Oryzias latipes: one gene and its partner. The protein of the gene in region 1 purifies or fractionates together with the protein of each later gene. This does not show direct contact. Links are inferred from orthologs where the notes say so. Each region holds a gene or a part of one and is shown on either strand. Other genes may lie near its edges.

Region 1 (9,209 bases):
AAATTCAAGGTTTTCTGCTAAAAAAGAAAACAGTACTGTTCTTTTTGGCTTTAAAATGATTAATCAAGAGTGCTGTACACTAAGAGTGTGCATTAGCCTTTTAGTTGTACTGATAGTAAAGGGACTTTGCTTCGTTAACATGCACAAATCAAACTTTCCATAAAAACTTTGCAGCAGAAGTTCAAAAACTTTCCATGAAGGCCTTTTGGACTGTGTTTGAAGCAGAACTGAGATTCCACATTCAGCATGTTTTTCTCCTCACCGCAATACACCTCAGTGAAACTGGGAATTAAACAACATTTTGTGCTAATCAGCAATGTGGTGTTTGAGCTTTTAACTTATTCAACCTCATAATAACTCATACTATTTTTTCAAAACTTCCAATTCTTTGTTTCTTTATTTTTTCTGCAAATTAACAAAAGCAAAAGATCTTGCACAAGTTATAATGCTATGCTATGATGGAAACCACTATATATATATATGGCTGGATTTTTGCAAAATACCATATAGGTATGTTTGTGGTTTCCATCTATGTATTTTGTTTAGGATGACACTGGCTTTTTTTTGTCCTATTTTGAAGTTATTTTTTAAGGTGAAACTCATCCCATGGGCTGCAAAAGGGTTTTCACTCTATTTCGAACATCAGCACCAGATTTTACATGCTCTAATGGAAATAAGATAAACCAGTATGTTTGCTGATCAGCAGACAGTTCATAATTGATGAAATTAGACAGGAAAAAGAAAAAACACATCTCAGGAAGGACCCTCCAAGCAAGTCATGACGATGTTAGTTATTGGAGGTGTTTGTCACGGCTGTAAAGTGAGCCACTCAAGAAGTCGCAATTAAAACATCAGTGGAGTGTTACATAACTAATTGGTTTGGTGTGGTGTGAAGGAAATCATCCACAACAACAATAGAATCCAAGGTTTACAGGTTTGTTTTTAGTCCTGCTAGTCGTACTGATTTTGTCATTCTGGTAAGTTCTCATTCACTGATTTGAGACTGTGGAAGCACAATTGGATTTAGAAGAATTGCGCCCAAAAAAGAAAGGATGGAAGAAAAGCAGGGGAAATCTTGCTTACCTGAAGTAGCAGGCACCACCATCAACAACAACAGCGTGAGGTAGGGCCGCATCCTGGATCAGCTTCAGTTCTGCAGATCCAAAGTCAAACAGGGCTGAAACTTTTCTGTCTGATTCCTTTTTTTTTTTTTTTACCATTTAGACCAGCATTGTCATGTTTTCTCACAGAAAACACCAAGTTCTCATTTGGCACAATAAAAACGAAATCAGTTGAACTATTCTCACCAACAGATGCTTATAGCTTGACAGCGAGATGCAGTTTGAAAGCTCCCAGCATCCAGAGCGGAGGCCTTCTTCCACGTCTCTGTTCCTATTCTTCCTCCTGCTTGTTTTCAGTCTCCTGAATGCAGAAGTCACACTGCAAACATCATAGAGCAAGTGGTGGAGAGAGGAGGAAGGAGGGGGCTCTGTGTAATGGGGAGGCGGGGCTAGCAAATCACGCTCAGCAAATAAATAAACTAGTGTCAATTTTGCATAGTGACATGGCTGCCAGGACAAGGTGAGAACAGTCTGACTGTAAGCAGGTTGTTGAGAGTTGTTGGGAGTTCTTAAAAACCAGATACTTTAAAATGAATTTTTATGTCAGTATTTATTAAGTGTAAGGAGTTTTTGTCCTATATTTTAACATGTTCAAAATAAATGAAGACAAACAGATCCTTGTACACTGCATAACCAAACTTTAAAAAAAAGATTCTAATTGGATTCAGACAGAATTTGTGGACAAGACCTTAACTGTGTTAGAGAGTGAATATCATTAAGAAATATTTAGCTTCATGAGTTTTTAGAGCCGGGAGACATGGTGTTGCTGCAGAAAAAGTTAATTTAGGAGTCATGAAGAATTCAATTTTCCACAAGGAATTGTTGATAGTACGCATTTATTGACACATTTATAAAACGACAAATACAAAAATACATTTGTAAACGTTAAAAAGAGCTTTGGTACCGTAGCTTGTGACGATGACATCGTGCGGTGAATTTTGAAGGTTCAGCAGAAATGAAAAGGTGTAGTTTCAGGTGATGAAAGCACTAATGTGTATGTTACCCAAGGCAAAGGACGACTACGAGCATAACATGTGCACAGCTGTCTGGTAGCCCTTCATACTTTGTGTAGCTGCAAGTCAAAAGTCAATACAAAGGCACTCTTGTGTGCCATCTTGTGCTAAGGCAGTGATATGCTGCATTGATTGAGAGTCACCTTTTCTCACAAAGGATATCCTGGACATGGTAACAGTCACAGTCATGCTGTAGTGGCTCTATATTTCAGAGTGGAACTTATATTTCTTTAACATACCGTGTGTCCATTTTTTTTTTCTATATAAAGTGCAACTGGCACACAACTAGGAATTATTTCTACACAAAAGACAACCCCATTGCAAGATGCTATACAAAGTTCACATATGGAAACACTGTAGTTTGTGGAGCTACATAAAAAGTACATCTCACTTTAAAACAGTGCACAGGGAAATAAATCTGTACTTCAAGTCCTATGCATGATATTTTACAAACATTCGACACAGAGAGTAAATTTGCTGATAGTACCCAGGAGAGAAAACCCAAAAACTGACCCTAAACAATGATTTAAAAATGCAATCTGTGGTAATTAAATTTAGAAAAAAAAGTGTTTTGAATGTTTTGTTCTGTTCCTGTTAAAAAAATACAAAATAAAATAATTGCTCACCTAAAAAGTTATTTGCATCATTTGGAAGCTAAATTTCATCTTAAAATATAAAAAGAATAGGCTTTTTTTTAATAATGTGGCAAAGGTTTAAAATTAAATGTACACTGAAAAATCTCTATTCTGTTTAGGCTAACATTATAGGTAGGTGAGAGTGCCATGTTTATTCAGTATTGAGCTGTCAGCAAGGTGCCACCGTACTAAGTAACTGTACCTAACTTGAAGAGATGCCTCTTTTAGTGCTACACAGATCTACAGACATTTCCTTCTTCCTCTCAGTTCTGCTACATTTGAGGTTTTTTTTCCTCCCGTGAAGAAAAAGGGAAAAATAAAGGCGCTGTGTTGTCTCTGGGTTTGAACGCACGGCTACAGGAAGCTGTCTTCTACCTCGGGGGTCGCCGAGGAGCCCAGCAAAGCATCCCTTTCGCTGGTGTCCTCCAGGCGCTCATCCTCTGGAAGAGTCTCAGCTGTGTCCTGCGACATGGAGTCAGTCTCCTCTTCCTCTGCAGCCAGAGAGCTGACGGCAAAAAGACAGATTAGGATGTGATGAAGCACATAGATTTACTGCAACATTGCTTTGATGCCTTTTCTTTTTTTTCTATTTACCAACATAAAAACTGTCTTTTCTTAGCAGGCAGAGCAGGCCTTACTTAACATCTGAAAGCAATCAGATCAGCTGACCAGCACTGTTGCAAACAATCTTGTCACAAGTAAACTAATTATTAAGATTCCGGCTCTTGGACATGGCTGTCCTCTTTGTCAGTATCCAAATAATTTATTTTAGCTCTTCTTTTAACTTAAACCATTTTCAAAGAACATTTTGTTACATAAACATGTTTTCTCAATGACTTTTGTGTAAAATTGTTGATGCAAATTTAGAATTATTATGATCAATGTGGGAGGTCTTATTGTAGTGATTTACTAAAGTGCAGTTCTGAGGCGTCACAGTGGCCATTCATCAGAAAACGAACCAATTGAGCTCAAAACATGAGTTTTGGCTTCAAATCCCACCCGACCTCAAACAAGGAAGCAAGGTTTGGGGTTAGAAAGGCTTAGTGAACAAAACAAACACAAAAATGAAGTTTGGTCTACTGTGTTTAAAAAAAAGCAGTTTTTGTAGATTTAAGTCCCTGCCTGGTCCTGTGTTTATTTAAGTTATAAAAATACATCTCTATGAAGCTTTTATAATAAACTACTGTGTCAGTTCAACATCTGGATGAGTGGGTGTGTGGCAGACAAAAGCAAACACATTTTCATCGCCCCTGCAGCCCCATGTTTTTGACACACATCTGCAGAGTGTTTGCAGCGGTCCGGTACCTTTCAGGGCTTTCTGACGGCATGCTGCCGAAAGCTTCCTCTGGTTTGGGGTCCGGGATGGGAATGATGTACTCATTATATGAAGTTACGACTTCCTGCCCGTCTGCTTCGTGCCTGCGCTCTCCAGGCCTCTGGCTCTGGTTGTTGGCTGTGGGACCGGGAGAGGAGGAGAAGGCAACAGGAGACAGGGAGCCAAATGTGGGGTCAGCGACGGGAAAGGGCGAGGTCCGGCGGGGTTTGGTGCGGGCCACTGCCGGGTGGTCACTCTTCAGGAAGTTCTCGTTCACTTGGCTGTATCTCTGTTTTTGGAAGAAATGCTTGCTAAGCAGAATAATGTGGCAAAAGCTGCTGAGTCCTTCTAAAGTTTACTCTATTTTTACTTATAGCAGTTTACTACTAGTAATTACTTAACTAATAGTAGTTAAGTAATAGTCTACTTATAGTTTGGATATTGTATTTTAAATAAATGAGTGGACCAACAAACAAGAGGCTGTCCCAGAATTGGATTGCAGAAGTGGATTATTAAATTCTAAAAAAAGTATATAATTGGGTCAAAACAAGAACAATTCTGTATATTTTTAGATCTGATAGGATGAAGATGCGGAGATTTTAAAATGACAGCATCATGTTAAGTTTCCATCAGCCTGATGAAAGCGGTGAACATGGAAGGAGCTTTAGGCACTGATCTCATAAAAGCAGCTCCTCAAATGTCTTCGTTCCAGCTTTGCCAAATGGGTCGCAACAGTAATTAAGAACCTCAAATGCAGCATTCATTTTGGGGATATCAGCTCTGGAAGGCATTTGCAGCAGATGTGCACTGACACAAAAACTTTATTTGTTGTATTTCTATAACATCTCCAGGTACATCAGGAACTCTCCAGACTGTTACAAAAAAAGCACTCAAACTGACAAAAGCAGTTTTCTCCTCACTGCTTTAAAAAAAGGTTCTAAATTTTGGCATGGATAAGGCCTACCTTCTACCCATCATCTATCTTTTTATACTCTCTCCTGCTAGCTAACAGCCCCTCACAACCCCAATCTAACATTACCAGCGGGGAAAAAAATGGCGAGCAAAATCAGAGTTAAGTCGCTGTACATTTAAGCCATATTCCAGCTGAAAACAAACATGTACATGGATCTAGTTGTCTACGACTGGATGCATCAGAAAGGAGCAGAGCAGGGAGCTTAAGTCTTGCCAAAGTTATTTGTGTGCCCCTCTTACAAGCTTTTTCAGTGGCATTTTGCGTCTGCTTTTAATTCACAACACACTGATTCACAACAAGTGGAATACATAAATACTCAGAAATGCAATTTTAAGCTTAATTTACTTTATATACAGCATGTAATCCATTATCAGAAAAATGCCACAAGTGGGTCTTTAACTGAGCACTTTTTTATGTTTAAAGCATTTTAACGAGAAGCAAAGTAAAGCAACAGAGTTAGAGATTCAGAAGTGAATATTAGAGCAATAACTGATGTTAAGTGGATTAGCATGGATTCAATACCTTCTTATAGCTGTCTGTCAGCATGTTTCCCACGTTGTGAACCAACAAGGAGAACTCAGGCCTCTTCTCAAACTTTTCATCCCAGCACTTCTTCATGATTTCATACCTGCGTCACAAACGTAATTTTTTTTGGTATAATTTGTAGGCATAAAAAGTTCTACGTTTAACAACTGACAAAAACTCACACTTCATCTGAAGCATGGGGAGGTTTGGCCATGCGGTATCCTCTTTTCAGTGCGTTGTAGAACAGTTCGTTCATGGGCAAATCTGGGTAGGGGGTTCCTCCTAAGGAAGAACAAGAATGGTTTTAAGCTATGCCAGAACTTAGGAACCCTTTTTTGAAACTACAAAGTCTGACTTCTGTCAAATATAATCAATCCCAAATGTGTAGTTTAAAGAAATGACCACTTTTCCCAGTATGTTTTAAAAGTACTTGGATTTTCATTATATAAAAAAAAATGTATTCAAAATTTAAAATAATTAGTTATTAAAGGTGAACATTTGGACACATGCAACAAGACATTTTATACACATGTAAATCTATAGGAAAAATATGATAAAAGTCCAAATGAAAGCTGACTTCCAACAAGCAAACAGAGACTCTTTGTCACTTACAGAGGCTGGATTGTAAGTTTGTTTTTTTATGACTGGAGTTAATGGTTGAAATGCACTAAACTGTCTCCTTTGTTTCATGGTAGCTTCCTTAGATCTATTGTGGATTAAAAGAAAAAAAATACATTTCCTAGAGCAAGAGAAATGTAAAAGCTTGACTGTAGCTAACAGGATTTTGGGTCTTTAAACTAACTGGTATGTTCTTGGTCAGACATGGACTTGGAACATTTGGAGCACTGTTTTTTGTTATTATTTGAGTTCAACACTTAAAAATTGATCAAATGGGAAGTTTATTTAAAAGCTATGTGTAAATCCCCTGCATGCATGAAAACTTTGTTTGAGGGTACAAATAGTGTGCGCTTTATGAACGTGTGGTCGGACTCACCCAGAGTGAAAATTTCCCAAAGGAGTATGCCGTATGACCACACATCACTCAGGGTGGTGTACAAATTATGAAAAATGCTTTCTGGTGCCATCCACTTCAGGGGCAGGAAGGTCTAAAAGAAAGAGAAATACACTGCAGCTTAGATGATAAAGAACCTCATTTTTTCACAGTCAGGAGGGTTAAAAGATTCCACTTTGCTTCTTTCTGACTGTTGTGTAATAACCATTTATATCTTATTTGTTAAAATGCTGTTTTGCTGGAGAACCATTTCATTTTGGCAGAGTAGCACACATTACATTACGACTTACGCTTCCTTTGGAGATGTAATTGGAATCATGCATTATGTCTCTGGCCAGGCCAAAGTCGCAAATCTTCACCAGCTTGCCTTCACAGATCAACACGTTCCTGGCAGCCAGGTCACGATGGACGCACTGCATTGGAAAAAAAGTAAATTGAGTTATTCTTCCTCTTTCCTCGAATAAATACAAGTCATGTTTGAAACTAACTTTTTCAAAATAATGGTTTAAAACAAAATAAAGGGATACGTTGGTGGCGGAAGCGGAAAGATGATTGTTTGATAGCTTACATTTTTGGAGGCGAGAAACTCCATCCCCTTTGCCACCTGATAGCTGAAACCTAGAAGGTCTTCATAGGTGAGGCTGGCACAATCACTGATCACTAAGTCCAGGCTGGTGCTTCCTGGAGAAAATGAGGTGAAAAGACACACAGGTGAGGAAGGAATACGTTTTTCATCCAAAAAACTTGCAACATTCTAGGAAAAATTCTGTATTTTTCTGCTAAAGCATAATAAAACACACATATCCGTGTTTAATCCATAAAAACAGCTGAGTTTAGAACTTCTAGTTCTGAAAGCAGCAGTACGTGGCCTCACATCCTATTTTTCACACATATCTCTCTGATTTTCTTTGTTTCCTGTGTTTGTCATGCTTTGTTTGTCATCCTCATTCACTCCTACATAAATGGAAAATTGATTCTTACCAACATTCAACAGTTGTCTTAACTTAGCAGACATAAATCTAACAGCAGCCGGGGCAAACCTTGATCTTGGTAGAGGTCCTGCTGGTAGGGGGACTCGTATGGAGAAGGCTGGATGTCAGCATATTTGATGGTGTCTATCTGCTCCTGCATGGGCACGTAGATTGACGGCTCATCTTTGCTCATGTCCATGTAGCCTCCATCGCTCTCACTGCCGAAGGACACATAGCTGAAGACGAGAGAAAAGCAAGGAAAAAAAGTCTTAACTGACCTATATCTAAATATGCATTGTAGTGCCTCCTCATGTGAAACATCTGTACATCTGTAACAGGCTCCATTTGTCTACTTCATAAATCCATCTGCAGCAGTTTCTTGGAATGAGACAGGATTCCAAGGAAAAAGTCTGTTTTATAAAACATCTCATATGTTTTTCTGCCCCCCTTACCCTTTTCTCTGACTGAGAGGGGTGCTTCCTCTAGAAATGAGGCAGTCGTCGTACTGGTTCTTCTCGGCGTAGTACTGCAGGAAGGTGTGTTTGTTCCTGTGCAGGTAATCCACCAAATCACCATAGCGACAGTACTCGGTCACCAGATAGAGAGGGCCTGCATGTGGTGACAAAGAACATACACAGATTTATGAAAAAGAGCAGAAAATTGCCTATTAGCAATGCTATTTATAATGAGGACATAATATGAAACTGCATGGAAAATTCTGGGCATGTCACTTTTTGTTCAAATAAAAATAAAGCTGAGATTCTTCTCTGCAGTTAATTGTATTATAACTTTTTGTCATTTCCAATTAAAATGGGTAAATTAACAGCAACCATTAACTGTTAATTAACGGTAAAAATAAATAATCTTTTGCCAGAAGTATAAATATTTTTATTTATTGATTAGCTTTTATTTTACCCACAAATCTTCAGCCTGTTGATGGACCATGTAGCACTTGGAGCAAACAGCAAACAGAACGGAGGTCAAATTAGACTTTTATTTTGGTGAATATTTTGTAGCTTATCAAATACATTTGTTATGATCAAATAGTATGTTTGTGGAATCCCTATTAGAAAGCAGTTATACTATATGTTACAAAATAAACATTTGTTCTAAACAAAAACAAAATTTCCACCATTTTATGAGATACAAGAGCTCTTATTGAATTACAATTTATTATTGACGGGTTTTTCGAATTATTTTCTGCCGCCAAAAGTTTTAAAACTTAAAAATTCAACAGTAAAAGATTGAGGCAATACTATATTAAAGTATTTGGACAAAGGAGAGGCTGTCCAAACCTCTCAAAGAATGAGGAACCCAAACTTAAACATGAACAGAAAAAATGGGAAGGGGTGTCTATTTACTTAAAAATAAAATGGAGCCCGAGGAAAGTAATGCGGCTGATAAATGCGAAAAGCACAGCGTGTACAACCTCAGCATGACAGTTTTTAGTTACTAAAACATTATTAATTTTATCTTCCACAAGAACCCATAACTGTTGGTTATGATATTATCCAGCTCTAGCAAACAAGATTCAAGCTCCTTATCATGAATATAATCCTCCCCAGTGTAGCCTCTGTACAGATCAAATGATAGCCTTATCTTAAAGAACTAACTCAGAAACACACTTTTCTATGATTAAACTCT
Region 2 (9,209 bases), on another chromosome or scaffold:
ATTATTGAATCCTAGCAATCTCATCTTGGAATAAGCCATCAGGAAAAAAAAAACTCCGTTAATGGAAAGACCTTGGCATTTATTTAATTGATGTTGTCAGTTGACCTAATGTTTAGCAGACATATTAATCACTATAAAACTTTTTCAATGGGGGGCTTCTGCCTTTCTGCTTAATACAATCTCTGTGGAGATTTTTCTTCATTTATTTATTTAGCCAGACAGTGTTTATCAGAATTTTCTCATTTTGTTCACGTCAGTCAGAACCCTAAATTCCCCCCTTCATCTTCAGGCAAAGGCAAAAGGTGGAAGAACCTTTACTTCATCCTGGAAGGTAACGATGCACAGCTCATCTATTTCGAAAGTGAGAAGAGAGCCACCAAACCCAAAGGGCTGATTGACCTAAGTGTGTGCTCCGTGTATTGTGTGCATGACAGTCTGTTTGGCAGGTGGGACATCAAACATTGGCTGTAAAGTCCACTCATCTTTGCATTTTGAGTGACAGCAGCTTCATGGACACCACACTGAAGAAAATTCTTTTAGCATTTGACACATATGAACCTAATACCCTTTATTCTTTTGTTTTGTTTGAACTTTTCAGGCCAAACTGTTTCCAGATTGTTGTCCAGCATTTTAGTGAGGAGCAGTACATATTTTACTTTGCAGGAGAAACTCCAGAACAGGCACAGGTAATGAGACTGATTTCTCTTTTTTGTGCATCAGCTTTTAGAATGTTACCACTGCAGTGGTTATTTTTACCTGACTGCAGTTTTCTTTCACTCATTTGTTGACTTGCTGATTAAAAAAAAACAAAACAAAAAAAAAAACTGTCAGCCTTTGTTCAATTAATCTTCATTTACAGTTTGCTGTAAGCTGTATACTTAAAAACATTTCAATTTCAATTCTAAAAAAGGCATTTTTAAACTACATTTATTATTCTGACATTAAAATATAGTTGTAATATATTTCAGAATGGCAATACATTGTTTGCATATTTGCTATGTGACCTCAAAGAGTCTGAAAAGGTTAAAGGCAATCTAATTCTGATGAATTACCCAATATCCCCCTCTGTCTTCCTTATAACAAGCCTAAACATGCTTGGTGGGGAATAGAACTGCCCTTGTGGCGTCAATGTGGGCTTCAATTAAACCTGTTTTTTAAGATGTATTTATTCAGGGGATATTTTAATTTCAATGAGTGGCACTGTACAGGAATCAAACCTTTGTTTCCTGGATCACATGTTCATTCAGAGTTCTGTCGCCTCTTTTTTTTCTGTTGGACCTTTTCTTGTTATTCTTAGGCTCCGTTAGAAATGTGGCAGAAACCCGAATCTTTTGGGGGTCTTTTGAAGAACTTTAAATACGTGTGTCTTTGCAGGATTGGATGAAGTGCCTTCAGACTTTCTGTACCAACTTAAGAAAAACCACTGTAAACACCTCCAATAAAAGGCTCAGACAGGTACGTATGTCAAGAGTCTGCTTGGTGTTCCCTGTGACCTGGTTAAATGCAAAACTTTAAAATGGTTCTGGTCCAGGGGGGGGTTGGCTCTGACTGAGCAGCATGCTGCTGCCAAACCTGCCTTTTTTCCCAACTCCACGTAGCTAAAAAAATCTGTTTGGAAATTCCTGTCTCTGGATGCTCACAACAGTTTAATAAAGCTCAAAATAAACCAAATGCCATACACTGCATTCTCATTGGTTAGATTTTAACTACGGTAATGAATGAATGTCGAGCTACCAGCTATCTACATTCCTGTTTGCATGCACGAGAATTGTACTTACAAGGAAAATCACTAATTGACAACCCAATTCATGGACTGAACTATAGAACAATTATAGCTAAGCATATCAATGTCATGATTGTAATGAAATGTTTGAAATCAAAATGTTTAATTTAATGTTTAAGGATGTGGATTGACACTTCATCATCCTTTTTTAAAATATGTTTTGTCTATTTCAATGCTGTCTTATTTGTAGGTGAGCAGCCTGGTGTTGTATGTGGAGGAGGCCCACAAGCTACCAGTGAAGCATTTCACCAACCCCTACTGTAACATCTACTTGAACAACGTCCAGGTTGCTAAGACGCACCCGAGGGAGGGCCAGAATCCCGTCTTCACTGAGGAATTCATTTTTGAGTAGGTGTTGTTCTTGTCTTTGTTTCCCAGCGAAGTGAGGTACTTTGAATTCTCTGAAACCTGTCATGTCTTGAACTGACATTATCTGTTTGAGCACAAATCTAATGAAATGTGTTTCTGTTGTTCCAGTGATTTGTCTGGTGAAATCAATAGATTTGAAATTAGCCTGAGCAACAAAACAAAGAAGAGCAAAGAAATAGACATCTGTGAGTACATTTCAAATCGAGTTTTCACACCGTTCTTTGTTCCCCCTCAATAATTCAGTTTTTTTGTCTGTCCTGCAGTATTTATGCGCTGCCAGCTAAACCGTCTGCAGAAGGGCCAGATGATTGACGAATGGTTCCCCCTCAGCTCCCACATTCCCCTAAAAGGCATCGAGCCGGGCTCCCTGCGTGTACGCGCCCGCTACTCTGTGGAGAAAATCATGCCGGAAGAGGAGTACAGCGACCTCAAGGAGGCCCGTTCAAATCAAGACCTGTTCTGAGATTTCTGCCTCTACCGTCAGGGATCTCACAGTGTATTGTTTGGTTTTATGCAGATGATCTTACAGAAAGACTTCCACGTCATCTATGCTTTGGCACACGTGTGTGGTCAGGACCGCAGCTTACTGGCAAGCCTCCTCCTGCGGATCTTCAGACATGAGAAAGCTGAGGCCCCTTTACTCAGGACGCTGAATGACAGAGAGATTAACATGGAAGGTAAGACATGCAGGGACGGTTTCTTTTGGATGATCATTTTAGCATCACTGCTTCCATCTGGGTTCTGTTGGACACAGAACATTGTTTACAAAACAAGGTGGAGGTTAAAGGTGGAACAAAAATCCAACACTTTCTTCCTTGAGGTATTGTTGTATTTCTTTTTATGTGGAAGGAAATTGAGTATCTGTCAGCACACATCATTTTCAGAACTCTTCCCTGTGTTTTTCTATTGCTGCTAAGAAAACGATATCAATAAAGCTTTCTGGAAACAAACAATACTATCCCAACATGTTCCTTTATTGCCTTTCTCCAGAGTTTAGCTATTAATAAAAAAAGATTGTTTTGATAGCTGCTGCATCCTTTCTAAAAGTTGTATCTTTTAATTCTGAGTGAGTCGAGCTCTGCTTGTGTATCACCATCAGATGAGGCCACCACATTGTTCAGAGCAACAACACTGGCCAGCACGCTGATGGAGCAATACATGAAGGCTACGGCCACGCCCTTTGTCCTCCACGCTCTCAAAGATACCATCCTCAAGATCATGGAGAGTAAACAGTCCTGTGAGGTGTGAGGCTTTCAATCTGCTGCCCAAGCAACTAACATATAGACTGCATCCACTGATTAACTTCAATTATTTCCTTAAGCATAAATCTACAAACTCTAGCCCAAAAGTAAGAAGGTATTTGCCCCAAAAATAGTTAACACGTCTGTTTTACTCTGTCCCTGCAATTTCAGTTGAATCCCTCAAAACTGGAAAAGAATGATGATGTGAACCTGAACCTTGCTCATCTCCTCAACATCCTGTCAGAACTGGTAGAAAAGATCTTCCTGGCTGCTGAGATCCTGCCACCGTAAGCCAATGAAATTCCATGTTTGTTTGGGACTTGTAATGGCCATTTAAGGTCAAAGGTGTTTTTTTTGCTCTCTCCTACAGTACTTTGCGTTTCATCTACGGCTGCCTGCAGAAATCTGTGCAACGAAAGTGGCCGAACACCACCATGAGGACGAGGGTTGTGAGGTAAAAGTACACTTTTTCACTATTCCTGTAGTATTTTTAGTCAAATGGAAAACAGTTGGTTCCAAACCCGATAGATTCAGGTTAATGCAGTACTAGCTTCTGATGCTAAATCTTTCAGTTACACTCAAGTCTACTATGAATCCTTTTCTTTCTTTGTCAACTATATTGATTACTGCGGCCCATAGTTTATTGCGGGGGTTAAGCTCTAAAAACAAACTAACACTAAAGGTAAAATCCACCAAAAAAAGAGCAAACACACTGAAAGAAATAGGTGAAACAGCAAGGCTGCTATAGGTGAACCTCAGAATATTGAGGGCCCACTATAGTATAAACTTGTGACACTTCAAGTGTTTCTTGAGCCTCACTGATTCAGGAATTTCGCCTTTTGGTGGTGGGGGTGCCATTGCATTTATACTTTCACATTTTGCAGCATTGGGATGAACTTGTGTGAATGCTGACTGTTGGAAGGTATGCCAACACTCTAATTGTTGTCACTGACGGTCTGTATACAGGCTTTAGTGGTGTTGTTTTTTTACTATCACTTGTCTCTAGAATCTGCTGTTGCACCGCGGTTAACCTCATGATGTTGCCTTTTTTTTCTTTTCTTCTAGTGGTTTTGTCTTTCTAAGACTGATCTGCCCTGCCATCCTCAACCCCCGGATGTTCAACATCATTGACGGTGGGTATCTATATAAAACCACAAGGTTCTGCCTGCCACATGAAGCAGGTTTCATTGTTTTCACTTTCTGATGCTTGTCTGCAGACCCTCCATCATCAACAGCAGCCCGGACACTCACACTGGTGGCCAAGTCTGTCCAGAATCTGGCAAACCTTGTTGAGTTTGGTGCTAAGGTACAAACCGAGAAACTGTAGGTCTCAGCATCATAATTATGTCAAATAAACTGTTTTTCTGTTAATTGTTTTTTTTTACAGGAACCCTACATGGAGGGTGTGAACCCTTTCATCAAATGCAATAAGCAACGGATGATCATGTTTCTGGATGAGTTGGGGGTAAGTCAAATTGTTTTATTTTGGTTTTTCATTTTATAATTAGAGCCTTCACAGGGCTCCAGACTAACTATTTTCACTAGGAGCACTGTGGCCCCTAACTGAAAATTTTAGGGGCACAACCAGAAAATTTAGGGGCGCATACCGTAAATCAACATTCTAACCAAATCTACTAATTTCCACTGTATTACTGATAAATACTTTAATAATAGATGCATAAATTACAATTAGCTGTTCCAAATTCAGTGTCACATTTTAATCTGCACTTTTGAAGATGCAACAAGAAGGTAAACTGACAGTACCATCGCTGTCATGACAGTACAAATAGTAAACAAAATACCATACATTCAGAAGTTTTTAGTAACAAAGTAACCTTTCGGTCATTTCACAGTTACAAAAAACACTTAAATGTATGTAAACATTAGAGGATGGAAATTCATGTTGGCGACACCAAATAAGTGCAGCCAAGATGCACAATAAGCGTGTTTGAGATCACCCAGATGGACGCAACGCTGCGCAGATCACCTGGTGTGAGATGTATATTTTTGTTTTTGCTCCAACATCACCTGTCAATCAAAACAAAAATATCACCAGAAAGGGGTGGTAGCAAGGCCCCAACCTACACGAACACAGCTGGAAATTTAGTACTGAACTGACTGAAAGCTGCCCTACAGACTACAAAACAATGCATTATGGGACATGTGTCCTGATGGGTTTTTGTAGTTCAGTGATCAATTAAAATAATTTAATATGCCAACTGATTGAAAATAGGCTACATAAATTACAAAATATTAAAATAATTATAAAATATATATCACAAATCACAGATCATACTCAGGGGAAGAGGCATATTAAAACTAAATTGAATGTTAAGGACTACAACTTCCTGTTCTCCTTAAGTCTCGCTGCAGCTTCGCCTTAACCCCACCCCCCCCCCCCCCCCCGCCACAGGCACGGCGCTGGTTCATCTTAAACACGTCTATCGTTACATTTTCCCCACATGTTTTAAATGTGTCTAAGACTAAACCGTGTTGTCGCTCACACGTGTTTAATGTTAGAGCCCCGTTGGCTGTCACGCATGTACGTGTGGGACATTTATTCTCCTCAGCTGACCATCTCCCGCGGGAGCGGTGTCATGCCGTTACAGCCGTGCATGACAGCCGTGGTTAATTCACGAGTTTGAGACCCCTGCTGTACACTCTGGCACTGGTACACTAGCTGCAGGTCGGAAGCACGAATCAATAGTTCGCTTACTCATAGCTCAGACGCACATATCAGGTTGTGATGATATTTGTCTCCGTTTCCTTCCCACAGATGTTTACGCGCGCTCGATTATCTCTAGGCCCCTCCCCCTCCACGCATTTAGCCACTTACAGTGGCTTTCCCTGTTCTTCTCACACGCAGTGGCCGCCTGACAGACAGGCGTCACGCGAGTGTGTGCTCGCGTTTCATGAGTATGTATGCGAGTGTGTGTGTGCGCTCGCGTCTCATGAGTATGTGTGCGAGTTTGTGCGTGTGCGCTCGCGTCTCATTGATTATTGATCATTGACGTGCCCCTTCCATGTTTAATGTATAAAAAATACGGAGGGTGGGGGAGGCAAATTTACTGGTCGCACATGTGCGACTGGATGTAAAATTCAGTCGCACACTCTCAATTTTTGGTCGCAAAATGCGACCAATTGGTCGCAGTCTGGAGCCCTGCTTCAATCTGTTGCTGACTAAAAGTGAATCCAGGTTTAAAGATAACCTTAGAGTGGGCTCAGCTACCTTTAATGCTACAAGAGCCATTTGGTCCAGTTTCTCATTGATCAAAACACGACAAGAGCCAAAATTCAACCGTTTAAAAAAAAAAACACTTTCTTTGGCTTAGTGTTAAGTGTCATTTTTAAAATTTGGCTTTTAAAGATTTACTAAAATTGAATTATATCAGTGTTGTGTTTTTCTATATACAACAATTTTAACTAATTTTTGACAGAATAGTCCCTTTCAAAATAAAATACACTCTGTGTCAAATAGGATCCTGCTGCAGCAGATTTACTTGAGAGAAAAATCTTGGTGTCTTTTATTATTATAACTTTGGTTATTATTATTAATTTAGACTTTTTCTACTTTTGCTATCAAATATAAATATGACAGCTTTGGTGTAGACTCTTTTTTTTAAATCTATACATTTAAATATATATGGGGACTTTGCCTCTGAACAGCAACTAGACATTTTTGTACAGCAGGAGATAAGAATATGCACTTAAAACTATTTTGTTCAGTTATTTGGTATGTTAAAAATCTAAACAAATGACAAAAAGCAAATGCATTAAAACTGCAAGCCCATTATTTATTCAAATAATTAGCCTTTTCTTTACCCTTGTGCTATCCTAGGCATTTCAGTGCGCTGAACCTTTTTTTTCTTCAATGATTTGTGATCTTCACTGGTGTCGATGGATTACATGAAATCTTTCCACCTTTATCCACCTTTGTCATGGTAGGGAGAACACGTCAATGTAAGGGTGGGGTCATCTAAGATAGCACAAGGGTTAAAAGCCACAGAGGGCTAAAAGAGCCATATTTGGTTGCAGACTCCTGCCTTAGCCGGATCAACATTTAATACAGCAAACATCCCTTCTGTTTATAGAACGTTCCTGAACTCCCAGAGACAACAGAGCACTTTAGGACAGACCTGCCCCGAGACCTGGCTGCGCTGCACGAGGTCTGTGTCGCACACTCGGACGAGCTCCGCACCCTAAGTAATGAGAGGGGAGCCCAGCAGGTCAGAGTCAAACCTTCTGAATGTTGATTTTTTTTGGGGGGGGGGTATTTGTTCTCTTTTTCCCACCTTTTTAACTCCCATCTCGTCTCCTCAGCATGTGTTGAAAAAGCTGCTGGCCATCACAGAGCTCCTCCAGCAGAAGCAAGCTCAGTATGCCATGTCCAACAGTAACAGGTAGTACTGCATTCCTCCTCATAACATCTACCCACGTCGCCCGGAGTGCAGCCCAGAGACCTAGCATGCCCAACCTTCATCACCATGGCAACCCATCCACCAGTCCTCCATCATGACCGACCCGCCCATCCCCACCAATCATCATGTCTCGTTCAACACAAAAAAGCTATGCAACATCAGCAGTTGATAACAAGCAGTGCAGTACTCGAAAACAAATAAACAACAAGTGTCCATCAGTGACAGCACTTTTATGTTCAAGATATTTTCCTGCGTGGACTTCTAACTTTGTCAATTTACTTCCCTTCATGAAGAGGTAAACTATTAAGGCGTCTTCGTTTCCTCTGCGTTTTGTCAGCACAGCTGTCCGGAGCAGAGCCTCCTGACTCTCTCAGTTTGAGAAAAGCGACAGAGAAAGCCCTTCTCTCAGTCCTATTTGATGGTAACTGGATTCTTAGCATTGATGCTTTTTATACTGTAATTAGAGAGCCATTCATTTTAAAGGTTGTGATGTCATCTGCAAAGTGAGGAGAAAAGAAAAGCTTCTGTTCTTTTGTGTTCTAGATTGGAACACATTCTTTCAGAGAAATATGGTTATTTTATATGAATAAATTCTCTTGCTGGGATCATGAGTATACAAGTTAGATGCAATGTTTTGGTTTTCTCTACTTCATTGTATCAGCTGGTGATTTTTTTTTTCTCTGACAGGACTCATAATCAGAGAAACCAAGTAAAATAAGTGTTTACAGATTTGAGTACAGACTGTAATAGACTTGCATGCACTTATTAAACTGTTTTTGTAAAGTAGATTTATGGGCTCATTTATTGTCCCCTCAACAAACGCAGAGGAATGTATGGCAACTGTGTTGTGCGGCTACGTTTTAAAGAACACAATTCATAAACGATTAAGAAAAACTTTATTCTTTGTGCAAAAAAAGGACCAACAAACAAACTCAAACTGCATTTGTAATAGAATCAGGTTAGAAAATAATGTGAATACTTGATGCCACAGATGCGTAATCCTCATAAGAGATCTTCATCAGTCCATTCCTGCAATGAAGCAAAGGTTAAAAAGTTTTAGAGGACACGAAAAATCCCTTTTTTTTGGGCTTGATGCATATTTCATTGCACAAAAAACGGGCCCCACCTCTTCTAGTCGTGCCTCTTTTGCTACATGGCCGTCGTCTTCATAGCCTTTCTTTCGTTTACTGCAAATATAGTTTGGTGAGCGTTCAAAGCTGTGTTAGACAGAACTGCTGGTGAACTCTGTGTGTGTGTGTAAGGCACAGACGGTCCCAAACGTCTACAGCCAAAGCTCTAGCATCCTCATCACATCCGTTACTAGAAGTAGTTCCTTCTGTCTCTTCCTGTTCAGCTGTAGAAAATAGCTTTTAGCCTCTTCCATTTCATTTAGACTAG

What was found.
Region 2: the proteins of pdgfrb (region 1) and rasa1 purify together in Homo sapiens (co-immunoprecipitation; 5 studies listed by BioGRID and IntAct, with this or other methods). This does not show direct contact. The link is inferred for Oryzias latipes from reciprocal best matches to the Homo sapiens genes PDGFRB and RASA1.

The regions. Positions count from the first base shown.
Region 1 is NC_019868.2:16,275,984-16,285,192, reverse strand, and holds the end of pdgfrb (platelet-derived growth factor receptor beta), read right to left. Parts: intron 8,175-9,209; coding exon 8,018-8,174; intron 7,802-8,017; coding exon 7,635-7,801; intron 7,276-7,634; coding exon 7,163-7,275; intron 7,008-7,162; coding exon 6,885-7,007; intron 6,689-6,884; coding exon 6,577-6,688; intron 5,865-6,576; coding exon 5,765-5,864; intron 5,686-5,764; coding exon 5,580-5,685; intron 4,374-5,579; coding exon 4,075-4,373; intron 3,275-4,074; coding exon 3,124-3,274; 3' UTR 1,941-3,123; downstream 1-1,940. Other genes in the region: macrophage colony-stimulating factor 1 receptor 1, read right to left, coding at 1,084-1,135. UniProt on the Homo sapiens protein: Tyrosine-protein kinase that acts as a cell-surface receptor for homodimeric PDGFB and PDGFD and for heterodimers formed by PDGFA and PDGFB, and plays an essential role in the regulation of embryonic development, cell proliferation, survival, differentiation, chemotaxis and migration.
Region 2 is NC_019867.2:14,746,466-14,755,674, forward strand, and holds part of rasa1 (ras GTPase-activating protein 1), read left to right. Parts: intron 1-289; coding exon 290-446; intron 447-598; coding exon 599-686; intron 687-1,374; coding exon 1,375-1,455; intron 1,456-1,973; coding exon 1,974-2,131; intron 2,132-2,260; coding exon 2,261-2,337; intron 2,338-2,415; coding exon 2,416-2,588; intron 2,589-2,669; coding exon 2,670-2,829; intron 2,830-3,251; coding exon 3,252-3,394; intron 3,395-3,564; coding exon 3,565-3,680; intron 3,681-3,763; coding exon 3,764-3,847; intron 3,848-4,458; coding exon 4,459-4,526; intron 4,527-4,610; coding exon 4,611-4,699; intron 4,700-4,780; coding exon 4,781-4,858; intron 4,859-7,484; coding exon 7,485-7,619; intron 7,620-7,713; coding exon 7,714-7,793; intron 7,794-8,690; exon of another isoform or gene 8,691-8,813; coding exon of another isoform or gene 8,814-8,840; intron 8,841-8,937; coding exon of another isoform or gene 8,938-8,998; intron 8,999-9,209. Other genes in the region: ccnh (cyclin-H), read right to left, coding at 8,814-8,840, 8,938-8,998. UniProt on the Homo sapiens protein: Inhibitory regulator of the Ras-cyclic AMP pathway. Stimulates the GTPase of normal but not oncogenic Ras p21; this stimulation may be further increased in the presence of NCK1.